Oreochromis niloticus: one gene and its partner. The protein of the gene in region 1 purifies or fractionates together with the protein of each later gene. This does not show direct contact. Links are inferred from orthologs where the notes say so. Each region holds a gene or a part of one and is shown on either strand. Other genes may lie near its edges.

Evidence for each region. The genes of interacting proteins can lie anywhere in the genome.
Region 2: the proteins of srrt (region 1) and zc3h18 purify together in Homo sapiens (co-immunoprecipitation; 4 studies listed by BioGRID and IntAct, counting the BioPlex papers as one, with this or other methods). This does not show direct contact. The link is inferred for Oreochromis niloticus from reciprocal best matches to the Homo sapiens genes SRRT and ZC3H18.

Annotation. Positions count from the first base shown.
Region 1 is NC_031975.2:11,166,539-11,176,751, reverse strand, and holds the start of srrt (serrate RNA effector molecule homolog), read right to left. Parts: upstream 5,044-10,213; 5' UTR 4,888-5,043; intron 4,057-4,887; coding exon 3,938-4,056; intron 3,722-3,937; coding exon 3,593-3,721; intron 3,512-3,592; coding exon 3,362-3,511; intron 3,233-3,361; coding exon 3,044-3,232; intron 1,460-3,043; coding exon 1,290-1,459; intron 1,120-1,289; coding exon 938-1,119; intron 146-937; coding exon 38-145; intron 1-37. UniProt on the Homo sapiens protein: Acts as a mediator between the cap-binding complex (CBC) and the primary microRNAs (miRNAs) processing machinery during cell proliferation.
Region 2 is NC_031972.2:38,975,429-38,985,641, reverse strand, and holds the start of zc3h18 (zinc finger CCCH domain-containing protein 18), read left to right. Parts: upstream 1-3,384; 5' UTR 3,385-3,523; exon of another isoform or gene 3,524-3,839; intron 3,840-4,453; 5' UTR 4,454-4,497; coding exon 4,498-5,412; intron 5,413-9,854; coding exon 9,855-9,939; intron 9,940-10,213.

The DNA of each region.
Region 1 (10,213 bases):
TGGTAAGAACTAATTCAGTATCAGAAGGAACACTTACTTTCTTAGGTTCAGGAATTTCTTTTGCTGGTTCTTTCTCTGCCTCCTCTTTTACATTCTCTCCTTCTGCTGTGGCAGCTCTCTCTGTGCTGGCTGAGTCACTACCCTCCTGTGGCACAGTTCATTGTCATCAACAGAGCCTCATAGGGCTGTTCGATATAACGATATATATCGGATGACGATATAAAAACGTCTATCGTTTCATTTTACGCTATCGTTTGTTTCGTGGTGTCGCAAAATAAACTGTTTACGGCAATATTTTTTCATTATTTTGATGGTCACTGTAGTGGCTAAATTAATTTCCTAAAGTTCTCTCTTTCTCTTATATTTAATATAACCACACTACAGCCGGACAAGCACTTGTTTTTATGCGTTGTGGTTAGCAACAACGACGGTAAAACCACCTCGTGTCCGCTTGTTTATTTTCCACATAAACCTTTCACAATAAAGCTCAAGATCCTGTTGAGACTTTTCAAAATAAACTGAATCACGTGAAAGATGCAGACTTGCAGAGTATTTACGGATGAGAAGCAAAAAAGAGCCGTCAGGTGCTAAAAAATAAACCTTAGACTCAAACGTTAGAACAGGCTTTTCCCCGCAGCACGCCGTGTAATAAATACTCACAAAGAAAACGGCAGCCGTTACAACCTATGTCTAAAAATGTATCGTTTCATGCATCAGTTAAAACACTCGACTCCAGGTACGCGACGCCCAGCTGGAAACACTTCACGCAAGTCGAGCTGCGCGACATTCACAGAATTTACAGAAAATGTTACATTTTTGTGATTTATATCGTTATCGGACGATAGATGTCTTATATCGGGATATGAGATTTTGGTCATATCGCACAGCCCTAGAGCCTCATGAAATTTCTACCGCCTGTCTAACAGAGCACACATACCTTCTCATTTCTGTCTTTCTCCACTGGTTTGCAGTCACTACCCAAAGCTTTGAGGTCTTCTCTCTTGGGAACTTCAGTGCCCCTGGAAATAGATGCTGACTTCTCTCGGTCTTCTTCCTCTTCAGATGGCAGGTCCAAGATGCGAAGATCATGGTCTGTCCCCCCTTCCATTTTAATCACAGCTGAAATGCAGAAAGAACGTTATGGTTCAGCCATAGGAGTACTCTTCTAAGTACCATCCATGCAATTAGGTCACATCATTTTTGCTTTTATTGCAAAAGCAGACTTAATTGTAGATACAAATGAAAACTCCACAGGTCAACAATGCTCTTTAAGTTGTTTGAGACCTCACCTGCATCCAGAACTTTGATGATGGCTGGGGTCTGTTCAATGTCCAGGGAGACATTATCAAACCAGCCATTCTCCATTAGGAACACGAACACATTCAGACGGTTGTGCAGAGCCCTCTGGGCCTCTGCCTTAAGTCGTCTGGCCTCGTCAGGGTGGTACTTGGATCGGAACCTGTGTCCAGAGTTGGGCGTCCACAACAGATTGGGGAGAGAATGATGGGGGTTGGGATGAGCAGGAAGCAAAAGTTAGAGAACAAATAAATATTACAAGCCTACGTTACATCTGTGTATTTTACACTTTTTTCAGTTTCTTCTAATCACATTTTTAACAGAATATATATTCTGAATAGGTTTTTTTTTAAATGTTAAACAACTCCAATTCAATAAGCAATCTAGCATATGAAAAGAATGTAATTTGTGTTCAGTATACACTAGTTATTATATCTTTCTGTAATTCCAAGTTTTGACTGTGGTCTTCATAGCCAATTACTCCACAATGTTAGAAGATTTGAGATTAACTCACCAAAAAAGAAAGAAAAAAAAAGGCAGGAAAAAAAAAACACAACAGAGATGATCAAATTAAACATTTACATATTCAAAATGTCACATTAAAAATGTTAGCATTAAGTGGACTACAGTTACCTTTTGTTCTGCCAGTTTAATAACAAATAAATACAGAGAGCGGGGTCTCTTCTGTGAAAGTGCGCTCCACTTCACCCCAATGGTGTGTCTGTATGCACACAAATTCGGTTTTGGGATTTGATCCGAATATAAAAAGAAAATTGTGTCGAAAAAGGATAAAACAAGAAAAAAATTCTCCGTGTGCGGACATGGCTGTCTATCTAAAATCCCTGTTACTGTGTGTCTAAGAGCAACTGCATTGTGCGCAGTGCATGCCCTGTCTGTCTAAGACCGATTCTTGCGGATGAACTCCACTTTTTCTCATCTTGAAAAAAATCGTCGTCAACGTGGTAGTTGAAATGAAGGGAAGAAAAATGGGTTATGACAAAACAGAATAATTTTGCATGATACCTGTGAAACAAGTGTCAAAGCATTAAGAGACAGCACACAATTATGAATCTTGTGTTACTCCAAATAAGACAATCAACCCAAAGAACACAGACGTTTTGGTCAAAGCACGTTATTGCACCAAATGATGACTTTAAACAATTCAGTTACACAAAAGTGTAACTATGGATATTTATGGATAAAAAAATTTAAACTCCTAAAATACATTTATAACAAATATAAACTAATGTTGAAATTGGGTTGATTTTCTTATTTTGTGAACAAGTACTGTAGCAACAGTCATTAGAAATAAATTAACTGTGTGTGCCTGGTCCTCGTACTGGGTGAAACTGTCATACCAAATGCCTTTCCACTCCTTTTGATTTGTGAGTTTAACAAGAACATAACGGAGATGGCATATACATGCACCTTGTTTTAATGTACCAATTTCATTAGCCATCAATTACAAATAAAAACATCATCTGAATTTTTGAATAGAATTCTAAGATAAACCCACCAAAAGGACCAGGCTCAGCCTATTATATTTGCCTTTAAATAGCAATTAAATCTAAAATGATTAAAAGGCCAATAAAGAAATAAAGAGCCAATCACATTTGGTGAGGACAACAGAAAATAACAGCTTAAGTAATGCTAATTGATCTGTCAATGCAATAATTCTATTACGACTATAATAAAGAAATTATATTCTTGATAAGGGCTTATGTAGGAAAGGCATCTAAGATCGTACCACTCTTCATCTTTATGAGCCAAAAAGAAGTCCTGCATCTGCTGCCGCCGGAAGTCGATCTTGTACTCATTGTAGCGTTTGACTGCCTCAGTCTCATCCACAGAATCATCTAAGGACAGCAGAAACTCCTTAAAGCTCTTCATTATTGGAGGGGGAGGACCTAAGTCCAAGTCGTGGATGTTACCAAGCCTAATGAAAGAGAGAGATGTTGGAAGAAGCTAGTTGGCAAAAAGACATATCTGAGGTAACAACATTAAAAACATCTTTAAAGATATGTAAAGTAACATTTAACTTCAAAACTGAACTTAAATTAATTACCTGGCCTGAATGGGGATGCCCTGATGAGGCTGCATGAGGTGCATGTCGGGATGGCCCCAATGTTGTGGTGGTCCATAGCTGGGCCCTCCTCCACCACCACCATAACCCAAGTCATACCCCCCACGGTAGGGGTCTCCACCATGGTCATCCCTGCCAGGAACGGATAAGGGGCTTTAAGTAAAATAAGAGATGGTTATAGAGATTGTGAATTAGTAACATTGCAAATCCTACCAGTCTCTTCTCATGCGTTTCTGCTGGGGACTCATGTCGTGTCTGGGTGGGGTAAATCTCTCCCTTCGACCTCTATCATAATCCCGGTACTCTCCACGACTTCGCCGCTCCCTGCCTCTATCCCACTCCCTGGGCCAATGATCACAATCAGAGGAAGGAGAGAAAACATGAGGAAAGAAAGAAAGGTAAGAAACACACAAGTCTATCTTTAATATCCACTTTACTCAGTGTAAGAGCAGCAAAGAGCTACCATTTAATAGCATTTAGCTGTTCATCCGAATATGATTTGGCTGTATCAGGTTTCACTGAATCTGGCTTGTGCCCAATAGCGTCTCTCTTTCTTACCTGTCATTCCAGTCATCTCTGCGCCGGTCCTCTCTCTCTCTTGAACGGTCATAGTCACTTCTCTCCCGTCTGAATTTGTCCCTTCTCCTGCGATCATGGTCATCATCACTGTCTCCCATCTGCATGAAGAAAGAAAATCCAGATGACGTGTAGTATCCAGTGATTACTATTAAGCTGGCTACAAGCAGAATCGTTTTAAGGAAGGCTTTACTTTTGATATTAAGACCTGATAAGTGCAAAGTGCAAAGCCAAAGTTTATGATTTACATCTCCCAAGAAGAAACTGCTATGATATAACACAACAACTCAAAACACATGTGCATTGATTTAGTGTGACAAGTCAGTAAACCATGTCCGCAAAGTGCTCGTTGAAGATTGTTCTCATTATAAACCAGGGAAACTGTTTCCTTTAGTCTGTATTCAGTATGTGCGGTTGCCACATGGAGACCGGGACGGTACTTACAACAAGTGACTATTAATATTTGACCTTCTAATTCAAAAGGATTTTGGTGACGGCAGTCATTCAAACAAGGGGGACCGTGAACAAGGAAATGCAGATGGTCTGTCACAGACGACGTGCGTAACTTGCCGTAAAGTGATTCCTTTGTCTTGCATAATAGCTATCATTGATATCATCAGACTAGGATGTACAAAATTTACAAAAAAAACGAGATCAAAATTATTAGCTATCCGGACATACAGGTTTGAGTCTTTCAGTCGAAACAAAACCTGTAAATTCGTGTTTCAGGGCGAGTTAGGACCCTCGATAATCCAGCCATGTATCGTTAGCCACTACGCTAGCTGTGTGAGTTAGCTAAAAATAAAATGAAATAAATTAAATTAAATTAAATAAACTGAATTACCCGTCGGTCTAATTCTACAGACCTGTCTTATTCTAAATAACAGACCAACTGATATAACTGAGGAAAAGTCAATAAATTACGCTAATACCTTAACAATAGTTTGTATGATGGTCTCGTTCGTCCCCCTCTTTCTCCGTAGCCTTCACGTCTTCTTGTTCTTCGCTTGGAAATGGTGTACAACTAAACATGGAATTAGCGCCACCAACTGGTTTGGAGGGTAAGCCACAATTTATCACCTCCGCCCTGGTAGAGTTTACGTGCGTGTCATTCTTTTTGGTTGTCCAGGAAAATAAATCTCCAAAAGTTGAATCTGTTCATCTGGACGTAGCGTTTTGTGGGAGAAACGTTTCGTCACTCATCCAAGTGACTTCTTCAGTCTCAACTGACTGCAGGTTTCCCCAACCCTTATAAACAGTACATTTGCATAATGACTGAAACCAGCCCACTGAAGGAACAATGGGCTGTGAGGTCAGTTCCTTAATCATAATTATGCAAATTCCCATGACCATTGATCAACAATCACTGACCAAAACCCACTGATCAAAGACCACTGATCAATGGCCATGAGTACCATTCACAGAGAGTTGAGGAATGGCTGCAATCACAGCATTGTAAGATGGCGAAAGATGTACCCTTAGGCCTCCTCCTCGATTCAGAGATGGTCTTTCCCTTTTCACGTAAATGGCCTCCTTGACTCCGCGCTCAAACCAGCGTTCTTCCCTGTCCAGGATGTGTACATCATTGAAAGAGTGTCCACTGGCCTGTAGGTATAACCCCAAAATACGCTGCGCCAAAAATTGGTCCACCCCAAGGATCGGGTCCCCCGACACAAACAGAGTAACATAGTGTACGCTGTTAAGTGCCAGGAGGATTGCCAGGATTTATACATCGGGGAAACCAAACAACCTCTGGTGAAAAGGATGGCACAGCACAGAAGAGCGACCTCGTCAGGCCAGGACTCTGCAGTCTATTTACACCTACAGGCCAGTGGACACTCTTTCAATGATGAGGATGTACACATCCTGGACAGGGAAGAACGCTGGTTTGAGCGCGGAGTCAAGGAGGCCATTTACGTGAAAAGGGAAAGACCATCTCTGAATCAAGGAGGGGGCCTAAGGGTACATCTTTCGCCATCTTACAATGCTGTGATTGCAGCCATTCCTCAACTCTCTGTGAATGGTACTCATAGCCATTGATCAGTGGTCTTTGATCAGTGGTCTTTGATCAGTGGGTTTTGGTCAGTGATTGTTGATCATCATTAATCATAATTATGCAAATTCCCATGACCACTGATCAACAATCACTGACCAAAACCCACTGATCAAAGAACAGTGGTCAGTGATTGTTGATCAATGGTCATGGGAATTTGCATAATTATGATTAAGGAACTGACCTCACAGCCCATTGTTCCTTCAGTGGCCTGGTTTCAGTCATCATGCAAATGTACTGTTTATAAGGGTTGGGGAAACCTGCAGTCAGCTGAGACTGAAGAAGTCACTTGGATGAGTGATGAAACGTTTCTCCCACAAAACACTACGTCCAGATGAACAGATTCAACTTTTGGAGATTTATTTTCCTGGATGATTGAGAATGCATCAAGACGACTTTTGATCAAACTTTTTAGGGGTGCATACTGGGGTCACGTTACCAACCCATTCAAATTTGGCTTACATCCTCCAAGGTCTTCAAGGTCAAATTAATGATTTTTTGGTCAAAAATTGACAAAAATCCTTAAAACTTAGAAACTATAATTCTTAAAAGTGCGGTGTGTGTTGTCAACATATAGAACGATTTAAAATATCATGTCACATTTGACCTCTGACCTTATCTTCAAGGTCAATAGATTGATCTGAAGGTCAACGTGATAATAATGCTATATAGAGCTATTTAAAACTATGTTTCTTACTGCTATTCTTTCTACTGACCACATATAGGCATAAAGGGAATGATATATGGGGATTCTAAATATCACATTACTTTGGATCTCTCACATTTTCTTTAAGGTCAAATAAAGTCAAACATTCATAAAATGTCTTTTATGCTGCCTTTGTTTGTACTGGTAACATTTGGGAAATGTTACTGGTATATGAGGATTTTAAACATCACATTATAGTTTGCATCCAAATGTGTCACATTTTATATTTGAGCTCACTATTACGTTCCATATCTGTCTTTCTTTCAAGTTGACCCTAAAATGTGTTATATATTTAGAAAAAGTAATGTCAAATGCTATTTAATAAGTTCAAGTTATTAATTTCCAGTTATTTACCTATTATTATACCTATTATCTATTACCTTTCCTAGTTTAATGTTTATGCCCAGAGAGTGAGCTGCCTTAGTGGAGGTTTGCACCCCAGAATGCTTAGTTTTCCATCTTTCACACTGTTTGTAGTGTTTGCCGTTTAGAAAATCTTCTGCTTTGATAGTATGTTTACACATAATTTAAAGGGAAAGATTATTTCAGCCCACACCAGCCATGGTTTTCATAGACCCAAACCTACAACACATATGCAAGAGGAATAATCAAGAAATGGAGATAAAAGTGAAAAACTAATACTGCAAATGCATTGGAGAATATGGTTAATAAATGGACTGTAGGTCTTATACATGTAAATTTATCCCCTAACCAAAGGAATTTGCAAAGAAAAGCGTCTGGACTTGTTTGAGTTGCTTGAAGACGTTTCACCTCTCATCCGAGAAGCTTCTTCAGTTCTAAGGTCAAATGGCCGAGAGTTCCAGATTTAAAACCAGTGGGAGTATCCCCCCAAGGAGGGACAAAGGACCCCCTGGTGATCCTCTAATCACATGAGCCAAGGTGTGAAAGCGGGTGTGGGACCTAATCAGCCAGGGTTTCGGGTGAGCTCATTGTGAAACCTGGCCCCACCTTGTCATGTGAATTCTTGAGGTCAGATGGCCCAGGATGTGAGTGGGCGTTAAGGCGTCTGGGGAGGGAACTCAAAACTGGATTATAGATGGCAGACAGTTGGTGTCGTAAACCACCACCTCTGTTCAAAGATGGTCGCTCACAGTGGACATAGATGGCCTCTTTCACTCCTCTTTCAAACCATCTGTCCTCTCTGTCCAAAAAACGTCTTCAAGCAACTCAAAGAAGTCCAGACGCTTTTCTTTGCAAATTCCTTTGACCACGATGACCTGGATGACTGAGAACCTTCACAGACATATTTATCCCCTGACCTTTTTCTGATCAGGATTTTCATTCTCATTCTCTACGTATAACACACAATTATAACACATCATTACTTATTCAACATTTTTTATAGTTTTCCCTCTGTATTCACTTCAGTTCAATTCAATTTAATGGATAGCGTGAGAAATATAGGGGAGAAAGACAGGACAAAAGACATACAGTGGAAGAGAGCCAGAGTGAGTGAGGAAGAAACACTCAGTGCATTACAGGAAGCCCCCAGCAGCCTAGACCTATTGCAGCATACTAAAAGGAGGATTCATGGTCACCTGATCCAGCCCTAATTGCATGCTTTATCAAAAAGGAAAGTTTTAAGCCTTATCTTGAAAGTAGAGAAATTGTCTTTGAAACCATGAAACCTGAAGGCACTGCCTCCCACTTTAGTGGTCTTCTATGGCCTTTCAGGTCTCTTTGGTGTTGCTGAGCTGACCAGAACTTCATCAGAATTCACCAGAATGTTGACTTTGCAAAACAAGCTTTTGCTATCTCTCTGATAGGTTCATTCAGCCTTCTTCACCTGCATCAACCTCTTGAAAAGCTACCAAATGCCAAACACTTGGAAACAAGTGTTTATATTTAATCTGCCAAGTTTGCCACGATGTAATAAGGGAACAGGTCCAACTTGCCCATAAAACTGCTTTTAGATAATTGTCCACTTGCCTTTGAGCTCTGGAAACAAGAGACTGTGTATGAAGGAAACGATTTGATACTGTTAGAAGAAATAAATTTAATCCAATATATTTTGCTGGATTCGGTGTCTTTAGGGTTCTATAACTCTTATCCAAGATGATTCCTTTGAAAAATGTATACAAAACATACTGTGTCACTGTAAAATGCTGTGGGGTTAGCTTATGTTCTATTGAACAACACTCATCAATACCATGTTCCTTGAAGTGTTTCTATAATTTAAAATTAATTGTTGTGTCATATATCATCTACATTATTAATGTGCTCGTTCCAGACATAAGCCGTACCCTGCCTTTCAGTTTTATGGTTACTCATTAAGACTTGATTCATTAAGGCTTTATGCATACGATGAATTCAGGCCATTTAATCCTTGTTAATTTCAGTATGTTAGGAGGCCTGGGTCGTTGACCCAGGGTTTTTGAGTTTGTTATATTATTTATAATTTCTAGTCTTTGGTTTCTTTGAGTTCTGTCTTATGGTTTTTGTCTCTGTCGTCTCTAGTTGCTCTGTCTCCCCTGTCAGCTGTATCCCCTTGTCTAGTTCGTGTCTCTGTGTATCCTTAGTTGCTATATCCCCGTGTCCAGTCAGTCTGTGTCTGTAAGTTCAGTCTGTGTTGTGTTTCCTGTTTTACTTTGAAGGTCTGTCTTTTCTCAGTGTGTTCAGGTTACGCTTCTTTGTCTCGTTAGTCCTGATTTGCCCCAGCTGTGTTTCCCTCCTGTTGCCCATTCCCTGAGTACTCCCTCTGCGTATTTAAGCCCTGTGTTTTCCTGTGCTCTCTGTTGCGTTCTACCGTTTTCTTAGTTGTGTGTTCTGTTAGTCCTATGGTTTAAGTTTATTTTGATTTTTTCCAGTCATGTTATATTACCCCTTTTTTGAGTTCAGTATTAAAGCTGTTTTGAGTTAACCTTTGGTCTCCGGAGTCTGCACCTTGGGTCCTATTCCTGTCTGCACACAGCCTGCACCTAACAGAAGAACGCGACCAGAACATGGACCCCGCAGACTGTTCCACCTCAGACTTTGAGGCTGAGATGACGAGGTTGGTCGATTTGCTGGACCGCATTGCTCAGGCCGATAGCTTACAGGCTATGGCTGTGGGACTGAGCGCGGTCGAGGCAATGATTACAACCAACCCCCAGCTTCATCAGTTCTCCATGGACACTCATCTGGGCCACACCATAGCCGCGTGGAGGGAGCACGTCAGAGCCAGTGAGCTGGCTATCTCTCTCTCCACACCAACGCAGCAGCAGCAGACGGAGCTCGCTGTTAAGCAGCTGCGTTCGCCACAGCAGGACAGTGTTTCTGCTTGAGGTTCTGGAGAACTGCTCCTGTGTGGTGAGCCGGAGGATTTGCAGCCCGGTGTTAGGGTTCAATGTTGAGAGAAGAATCCATAAATAACCACAGATCCAGGCGTGTGCAATTTAGACGGCATTTTAATGAACACATGTGTGAGTTCAACAACCCAATCAGTGTTGAACTGTCTTTATCATATTCAGACAACTGTTTTATAGGGTTAAGATAGTAC
Region 2 (10,213 bases), on another chromosome or scaffold:
CTACTCAAGTATAGCAGTAAAGTACTTTTTACTTCCCACTACTGATGGGGACCAAGGATGACTACCCCTGGAAAAGGTAAATACAGTGCCTCATCCACAAACACATCCACAAAGAGATGGAGAATGAAAAGATGAGACAGAAACTGGCAGTGGGCAATGGGAAGACTGGGAAGCTGTGATAGTGCACCCCCTAATGGAAGCCTCCGGGCAACACACTGGGTTTGTAAGGAGGACACCTGTGGCTCATTGACCATAGTCCAGAATGGCAGACCCTGGAACCCAGATCTGAAAGCCAAGAGAACTGGACTGGACTGACTTAATCTGGGAAACACAGAAGTGTGGTGTGGTGGTCAGGGGGGTTATGATTAAGTTCGCAACAACGCCACCTAGGAGAATTTCACCCCTAGGAAATATAAAGATGAAGCATTTAAACAAAATAACCAAATGTCTGCACAGCTTCAAAAATGCACCACTGAAGCAGATTGGTTCCATTAAAATATTTAAATACCTTTAGTCCTTTAATACAGATTTTAAAATAATAAAAACCAGTTTTACATCCAAGATGCTGCACAACATAGAGACTGTGGGAAAGGACCCACCACCAAGAAGGTCCCACAGCTACTGGCTTATCTTCAGTCATGAAAATAAAAAGCAAGAATGTTAAAAATCACAAAAATATAATAGGACACTTGACATCAGACTCATACAAGAAAAACTACTAAAATCCACTCCAGGCATACAGTTTTAAAATGTCTTACACACACACACACGCTACAATAAAATACACAAGCCAAAGAGTCATATACACACTCCACAGGTGAACTGTCGCCTGTGCCAGTGACTGTTGATATAACAGGTAATCCTAGCTCAAACACAACAAAAAGGAATTCCCATTTAGCACTCTCTGTGGCGAGTGGAGCAAATCACTAAACAAGCTAGTACAAATAAACAAATGATGCAGGTAAAGTAGCAAGACACACGGACAAGAAGTAACTGTGGCAAAACAACGCAGGCAAGACAGGAGGAGTATAAACAAGACATTAGTTCCTCAAAGCACAGACCACAAAATAGTGGCTGCTGCATCTGCTGTGAATGCCTTCACAGCACTGATCATTTCACACACTTTTTTGTCTCTATCCTGCAACTGCTGGTTCAGCTTTTTAATTTTTTCAGTCACATCCATCAGGAAAGCCAGATCAGCCACTCAGCATCACTTGGTAGTATGGTATCCTCTCCTCTCATCTTACGTTTGCTCAGCACTGGACCTCCGTGTGACTTTTGCACAAATAGCCTGCTGATGGATGATGCAGTGATAGTTCAAACATTTAGGAAAGTCTGGGTCCGCTTTGCCATGTGTAATAAATCTCGAGTGATGTCCTGTCATGGCTGCTGCTCCATCAGTTGTTACAGAAACCAGTTTTTCAATGGAAATCTTTTTTTCCAACAAGTACCGCTTCATTGCATTGTAAATGTCAACTTCCTTGGTTTCCAGTGGCAGCAATGTCAAAAATTCCTCCTTTGTGGAAAAGTCATCACCATGTGTGCACAGCTAGCTGTGCCGTATCACTGTAGTCCACAGACTCAACACGCTGAAGTAAATACCAGGAGCACCTGTTAAGGTCCAAATCTAGCTTTCTCTCTGCATCTGCTGACAGTGTTCAAGCCAAGCTGGACATTAGCGATAGCAGAAAGAATCTCAGTCTTATTTTCGCAATGATTCTGCCATGGTGGCCATTGCCTCTTTAATGATCCCGACATTAATGAAGGGTTTTTTGTGCTTGGTGAGGATGTGCACCACTTTAAATGATGCCTCGGTTGATGCGCTAGCATTCTTTGGCTGTTTAGATTGTTGTTTTTGGAGGATAGTTTTCAGTTCTTTTACCTTTTCTTTGCAGAGGTTGCTTCCCACTGCAAAGTCCTGGGAAAAGTTGCTGTGAACTTTGGTGAAATGCTGCTCCACGTTGCATTTTTTTAGAGACACCAAGGCTCGCGCCACAGATCACACACACATTTGTGGGAAAAAAAGTTGTTTCCCACTCCTCAAGAAAATAAATTTTTTGCCTCTTACTAGCATAACCAAACTCTGCTGCTATCATTGTTGCTAATAGCCTGGCACCTCGTCTGCCTGCTACCTCCATATGGCGTCTAACCGCTTCAATTGCAGACAGCAGCCCGGCACAAACTTTTGATTGACAGTTAGTTGACAAATAATTGTTTCATTTCAAGAGGGGTAGGGGTATCTTTAATTTTGATTGGATGGAAAGCTTGGCCAGTTTCGCCAACCTACAAATTATATTTCTTATTTTCTTGACCACTTTTGTTATTGACCCCTTTGGCAAGCTACTGAAAAAGGCCCCATTCGCAAGTGATGTGTTGGAGACTCCTGCTGTACTCTGAGCCCCTCCCATAGTAACTCTGGTACCGCCTAGTTACACCGTATTCATGTTTACACATTACTGTGCTCATTTTCTATATTACAAACAAAATATGAAGAAATAAGGATTGGTTTCATTATGGGCAAGAATTTTTCAAGTTAGACGTTTTTGGAAATAAACAGACATTTTAAGTTTAATCAAACTAAAACCAAATAATTTTTTATAATCTACAAACGATTAGTTAGCTCAAACAAAGTGGCCTTTCTTGTTTAGACAGTTCATATTGGTTTGCCTGTTGAACACAGCAACTCATTTAAGACTGATTTAAGATTTTCAAATTTATGCCACAGGTGCATCTACTAGGGGCTGAGGGGTAGCGCTGGTTTTTCACTCAGCCACTCAACTTGCTGTGAGCTTTTACCTTTAAACCAAAGTTTTCTTCTAAGTAAGTTGACCTTAAATCTTGTTGTGAGCTGCTGTTTTCAAGGCAAAAAAATAATAATGATCAAGAATTATGTTAAAAAGTTTATTAACTGCAACAATCAACATCAGTGACGAAAATCTACTTTCATATAGTCACTGCATAATACTGATATGATTACTTTGTTGTTAATTTATTCTTTAGTGAACTAAAAAAAAGTTAAATTTGTCTTTGGATATGGAGAACTGAAAGAAATGAAATTAAATGAGTTAACTCAAATAGTTAATTCAAAAAGAATTAGTGGTGGAACACTGTATCCATATTACAGTTATTGTCACCAGAGATGAGAGGTCACCAAGTGAATAGAAGAGAAAACATTAATCAAAAATAATAGTTACATGGAACGACTTAACTGCTCCCCAAAAATGTCTTCCATGATTTCTAAGTAACTGGTTAAAAATCATGTATGTCTAACAACATTCTTAAAATATTACAGATATTCTCCTGTCAACGTTGGCCCATACTGATCTCAGGTCTGCCCCGATTAGCTTTCAGCGCGGTTCCAACCACACGGTTGTCGTATGTTGATGACGTTGAGGTAATGGCCGCTCTCGCTGGGCCGTGCAGGGTGCTTTATTTTCATCGCTACAGCGGCTAAAAATAAAACCGTCTAATATTTATTGCAGACAGTAAAAAGTTTTATCCGCGGGAGAGTGCAGCTGAAAAGGTAGAGGCGCGGTCTTTATAGAGCTTCGTGTCGGCAAGGTGATTAAAAAATGTGTTGTTAGCTCCTAGCACAGTGTACTTGCTCTTTTAGCTTAGCTTCAGGGGAGGCTACATTGTTAACCGTAAGACGGCCAAGTGTACTGGTGCGAACGCTTCGTACTAAACCGGTACTGTCCACTTATTTGTATGGTTAAGCCAAGCGTTTATAATCGCTGAAGAAAACTATCCATAGGTTGGGGACACTTTACTCGTTATTAGCCTTGTCTTCGCGCCGCCAAGTTATGGGCCTTGTTGCGAACTAGCGCGACCCAGCCATTGTAAGTGTTACCAGTGACATTATGCTACAGGGAAACCTGTCTTTATAAACTTGAGCATGTTGTCTAATTATGTATACACATATAGTTGTACCATGGAGCAATATGGAGACTTATATACACGTAAAACTAAATGGTGGTTGTTAGTTAGCGTGTTATAGCTAACGTTTACTTTGCTGGTGAATTAGCAGCGCCGGAAACTATAATTTCATAAAACATATACTGCTGTGACCAACATCTAATTACGTCTCAATCTCAGGAAAGGTGTTATCAAAGTTAATAGAAATTAGTTTTTCTCCGTTCTTTGTGTCAGCAATCACCAAATGAACAAAAACAAGTATTTAGCGTTATGGTGTATGACAGTTATATATTACTATATAAATTAACTGTACCATCTTTCTTTCAGTTGGTAGCAGAATTAACATTTTTTTGTGGTGCATCATTTTAAATTTAATTTTTGATTCTAGACATTTTATTGGTTAATTTTGACTGTTTTTAACTGACTGTTTTTAAATCGATTATCAAATGGCACGTAGCATTAGATTGAACAGTGTTAAATTACTATCAGATTACTGGTGACATACAGTTGTCTTTTCTTTCTTTCTTTCTTTTGACAGATTGCTGTTTTGTTGTTGTTTTTTTTGCACCAGAGTGGATTCACATGGATACTCCTGAAAGCCCTACCCAGTCCCCTCAGTCTCCTGAGGAGGAGGAAAAGGGTCTTTCTGACAGTGAGTTGCTGGAGTCTCCTAATGAAGAGGAGGACAGGGTCATTTCAGACAGCGAGATCCTCAATGAAGAAGGGGACATAGAAGTGATGGAAGGGCATGGAAAACATGTGGAATTAGAGGAAGAGGAGGATGAGGTGGTGCCTGACTTTGTGTCGGAGCCAGAGGATGAGGAACCTTTTGGAGAAATGGGAGAGTTGGGACAGGATGATGAGAGCATTGTGCTTATGGAGGGGAATGAAGACAGTCCTCAGGTGGTGGAGGAGAGGGAAAGAAAGGAGGATGATGAGAGAGTTGTCAGCACTCCATTATCCCCAGACTCTGAGCCAGAAAATGCCAAGAGCCTCAGTGCTGGAAAAGATGGAGAAGACTGGAAGGAAGGATATGATGACTACATAAAAGCTGCCTCTGCAGAATGTGAGGTAGCTGAAGGGGATGATCAGGAGGAGGATTACAAAAACAAAGATGAAGAGGATGGAAGAATAAGAGATGAAGAGACAAGAAGAGCTGCTGTGCTAAGGGAAGTGAAGGATGACTCTGTGTCAGTTTCCCGGGAACTAGACGAACATGAGCTTGATTATGATGAGGAGGTCCCAGAGGAGCCTGGCATCCCTACGCACGAGGAGGAAGATGAGGAAGACACAAAAGTAGAGGGAGATGAAGATGAGGAGGAAAGCGAGGACAAAAGCAGTAAAAAGGAGAAAAAGTCAATCCTTCCACCATCTCCTAAACACAGCGAATCCAGGAGGACAGATGGGTCGAAAGGGCCGGAGAGGATACGCCAGGACTCCTTCAGAGACAAGAAGAAGGATGAGGATGATGGAGAAATTGATGAAGGAGAGATTGATGTAAGTTATTGTAGTTCAGTTGGTAGTAGTGCCGTCTGATTTGCTGAGTGCAGGTAAATTGTGTTGTGTTTGAAAATAAGCCTTTAATCAGGAAGCACTGCTACTGTGTTTTTGTTTTATTGATAAACCTTAAGAACAAATAGCCATTAAACATAAAGAGTGGTGTTAAATCTGAAAAAAAAAAAAATTCCAAGTGGACTGGACCTAATTTGGCTGGATGCTCTTTATGCTACTGGTGAGTGTGTTGAGTGTGTGTTACACTCTCATAATAGAGAAATAAGAATATGAAGCCTTGTAGTCTTAACATTTTCAGAACTCAAAGGTTTTTTCTTTCTTTTTGTGTTTGAGGTCCATATCTTTCTCATGAGTCACGTTTTAGCAGGCTTTCAATGCATGCTCTGTGTGAAGAGCAAAAGAGGGAAAACCAAAAAAAAACGTCCAAATAGAGTTAGTATTTGAGTTAAGTTAGTATTTGATTAATAGTTGACTTATATGTTCTTGCAAAATCTGAATAGAGCTGTGGATTAGAAAGCCCACAATACAAGTCCCTTTGCAATATAATACATATACTGATACGGTAATATCAGGCCAAGATACGGTAAGTTCTTGGCCCTGTAAAACCTATGCACAGATACTGTCAAATAACTAAAACTAGAAATATATTTTTAGTTTTGGATGTTTTATACTAGGGCTGTTCGATATAACGATATATATCGGATGACGATATAAAAATGTCTATCGTTTCATTTTACACTATCGTTTGTTTCGTGGTGTCGCAAAATAAACTGTTTACGGCAATATTTTTTTCACCGTTTTGATGGTCACTGTAGTGGCTATATTAATTTCTTAAAGTTCTCTCTTTCTCTTATATTTAATATAACCACACTACGGACGGACAAGCGCCTGTTTTTATGCGTTGTGGTTAGCAACAACGACGGTAAAACCACCTCGTGTCCGCTTGTTTATGTTCCACATAAACCTTTCACAATAAAGCTCAAGATCCTGTTGAGACTTTTCAAAATAAACTGAATCACGTGAAAGAGCAGATTATTTACGGATGAGAAGTAAAAAAGAGCCGCCAGGTGCTAAAAAATAAACCTTAGACTCAAACGTTAGAATAGGCTTTTCCCCCCAGCACGCCGTGTAATAAATACTCACAAAGAAAACGGCGGCCGTTACAACTTATGTCTAAAAATCTATTGTTGCATGCATCTGTTAAAACACTGGACTTCAGCTACATGACGCGCAGCTGGAAACACTTCCCGCAAGTTGAGCTGCCCGAGATTCACAGAATTTACAGAAAATGTTAAATTTTTGTGATTTATATCGTTGTCAGGACGATAGATGTCTTATATATCTTATATGAGATTTTGGTCATATCGCACAGCCCTATTTTATACACTAGTGTGAAAAAGTATTTTGCCCCCTTTCTGACTTCCTTTCTGATTTCTATGTTTGTCACACTTAAATGTTTCAGATCATCAAACAAATGTAAATGTTACACACTGATAACACAAGTAAACACAAAATTACATTTCTAAATGAAGGTGTTTATTATTAGAGTGGGGGGGATCCAAACCTACATGACCCTGCGTGAAAAGGTGAATACGTTTTGCCAGAGAAAATATCTCTATGATCCCCAAGGCTTTTGGGAAAATACCGCTAACTCTGTTCTTGGAGGACAGTGTTTGGCCATCTGTTTATGACCTCAAGATGAAGCACAATTGGCTTCTGCAGCAAGACAATGATCTAAAACACACCAGCAAGTTCACCTCTGAATGGCTTCAGAAAAACAAAAAGACTTTGGAGCGGCCTAATCAATGTCCTGACCTGAATCTTATTGAGATGCTGTGACCTTTAAAAAGGTGGTTCCTGTTCAAAAATCCTCCAATGTGGCTAAATTACAACAATTCTGCAAAGATGAGTGGGTCAAAATTCCTCCACAGCCCTGCAAGAGACTTATTCCCAATTATCGCAATGGATTTAGCAGCAATCACTTTTTCACACAGGGCCATGTAGGTTTAGATTTTTTTTCCCCCTTAATAATAAAAACCTTCATGTAGAAACTGAATTTTGTGGTTTCTTTTGTTTATCAAATATCTTAATTTGTTTTAATGATCTGAACATTTAAGTGTGACTGACATATAAAACAATAGGAAATAAGCCAGGGGGCAAAGCACTTTTCACACCACAGTATAGGCAGCCACAACAACTTCTGGACAACACATCTGCTCCACCATAGCCCTATGTGCATTTGTAGCCTGCTTCTGCCTTAAGTGGTGAAAAAGGTTTTGCTTTCGGTTTAGTTTTTTGTTTGTTTTGGGTTCTTGTTCTCTGACATGCCTAGGCATGTCTTGTTGTGCGCACTACAGAATGTAAACACAAGGGTTTTAAGGGTGTGAATTCTTAATTCGGTCATATTAGAATTAGGTCATAGTAACTAGTACCAGGTACTTTTTTTGGTATTTACTCAGCCGGGGTTCCAAGCGGTCTGAGCAAGTACTAAAATGTGATGTCATTAGATTGCATGCCACCTATTGGTTGGTCAGTGGCATCACTCAATGAGTCATGAGAGCCTCTCATTCACGAAAATCAAAACCACTATTTTTGAAACCCGGCAACAAGGGAAATCGCTACACAAAAACAACGGCATGGTTCCCTGAGTCTGACAAAAAAAAACCACAGACCAAGCACCATGTATATTGTTTTCTCAGCATCCACCTTTGTTGTAGCATTCGTGTTGCATATTAATTACGTCACAGAATGCTTGCACCATTGCTATGACGAGCATGCACATAAGGTAGTACTGAAATGTAATGGGAAACCAGGAGAGTCGTCGCAAGTTGATCTGAGTAGGTACTGATGGAAAAGGGGCTTTGATGTTTCAAAAAAAATGTTCTGACATTGTTTGGAGGCCGCGTTTCATATAACGGGGGATGTCAGACATGTTGCGCAATGGGCATCCGAAGGTCACATCATGAAGACGTCAGCTGATTGTGTTCGTCGGTCTGTACACCTGACCTGACAAGAAAAAAAAAAAACAGTGTGTTGAAATGCAGCTTGTCAGTGCACCTGATTCATAACGTGTTCTACAAACCCCAACATTACAGCTAACAGGTGGATTTTCCTGTTTCAGTTTAGCTAGCCAACAACGAGGAGGCACTTACTGCTTAAGAGACAGAGTGTAAAAGTGGACAGAATAAAACTGATTGCTGCAGCCAAGAGAAGTGCAAAGGTGGCCACCATTAGATGGCTTTTTAGTCTTAGTGTCCTCTTTTTCCCCACTGAGTTATCGGTTCTGTCAACAGACTGGGCTAACAGGTCTGTTAGCACCAACCAGCCAAGTGATGTCATGTTCTGCCTCTAGTGGAGAGGCAGAATGGGCACTAAAAGGCTTTATCTAATAACTCCGTGGATCAGCAGAATGTCACACACTAGTGATTGTTAGGGCTGGCTATTTTCACTGATTTCTTTAACCGATTCAATTCTGATTCACAAGGCCCCGGTTTGATTCAATTCCACTTTTGACTCAGTCAGAAATATTATGATTATGATCATTTATCTTGGATATGTACTTTTGAAAGAACCCTCTAAACCATGTAAATTAAATACATTTATCTCCAAATTAGGAAAAACGGATCCTAAAGCAGTTACAGTCTTGGGACTTATTATTTAACCCGTAAAGCCCCAGGGGTTTTTCTGAGGTTCCCGCTGGAAAATGACATGCCCAAAGTGAATTGACTATTTGTCTGCAATTACAAACTTTGTGTAAACCAACTAGGTATAAAAACAATGCTGACACTTGTGAGACTTCATCAGAGGTGTAAGCATCACAGCAGATGCCTTTGTGTCAAAGTTAACAGAGGCTAAAACCCAGAAAAATATAACGGAGTTTTTCCTGGCCTGATCTTTTATAGCACATAACCCCCTTGAAAATATGCTGCAAAATTCAGAGTTCGCAATGACGAAACCTGCATTTTTGGATTCTGTGATGAGATGTTGGCTTTCAGCACCCGGTGGTGTGTGCGTGCCATCGAGTGAACAAGCTGCGTGTTTACATCTTTGTGTAGAATCTGTCTATCTGCTCTTTAATTGTTTTCTATTTTTAGCTCTTTGGTGGTTGTTGAAATAGTTTTGTGAGCTTTTAGCTGAGATTCTGATATTTCTGGCAAAATACATTTATTTAAAAAAATCGATTTCAGGATTTGATCGATATTGGATTATTCAAATTAAAATTGATTTGAATTAGGAAATCTTTTTATTTATTTATTTTAAACCCATCCCTAGTGATTGTTCCTCATTAGACATTTAAAACAATTTCTACTTTGCACTTGAAATACAAATAAGATACACTTCACAACACTAGTTCTAGCCAAGTTAATAGTTTGGATACAGTGATGTGTTGTGAAGTGTCATGATTTGGCTTGTGTATGTGTATGCAGGATGATGATCTGGAGGAGGGGGAGGTCAAAGATCCTTCAGACAGGAAGATCCGACCACGTCCCATCTGCAGGTTTTTCATTAAAGGTAGGTGGTGAACAGCAGATGGAGTGCCATAGTAAAGTATTTACCTTGATCCTTTTTACTTTTTCACATGGGGCATATTTGATATAGAGTGGTCCCTCGCTATAACGCGGTTCACCTTTCACGGTCTCTGTGTTTTGCGGATTTTTTGGGGGGGAGGGGGGGTGCAATTTTGCATGCTTTTTTTTTTTTTTCTTACAGCGCATTGTGTTTTGTGTCCTGATTGGCTGTAGACCATTGTCAATCAATCTCGTGCCGTGTCTCCTGTACAGTACAG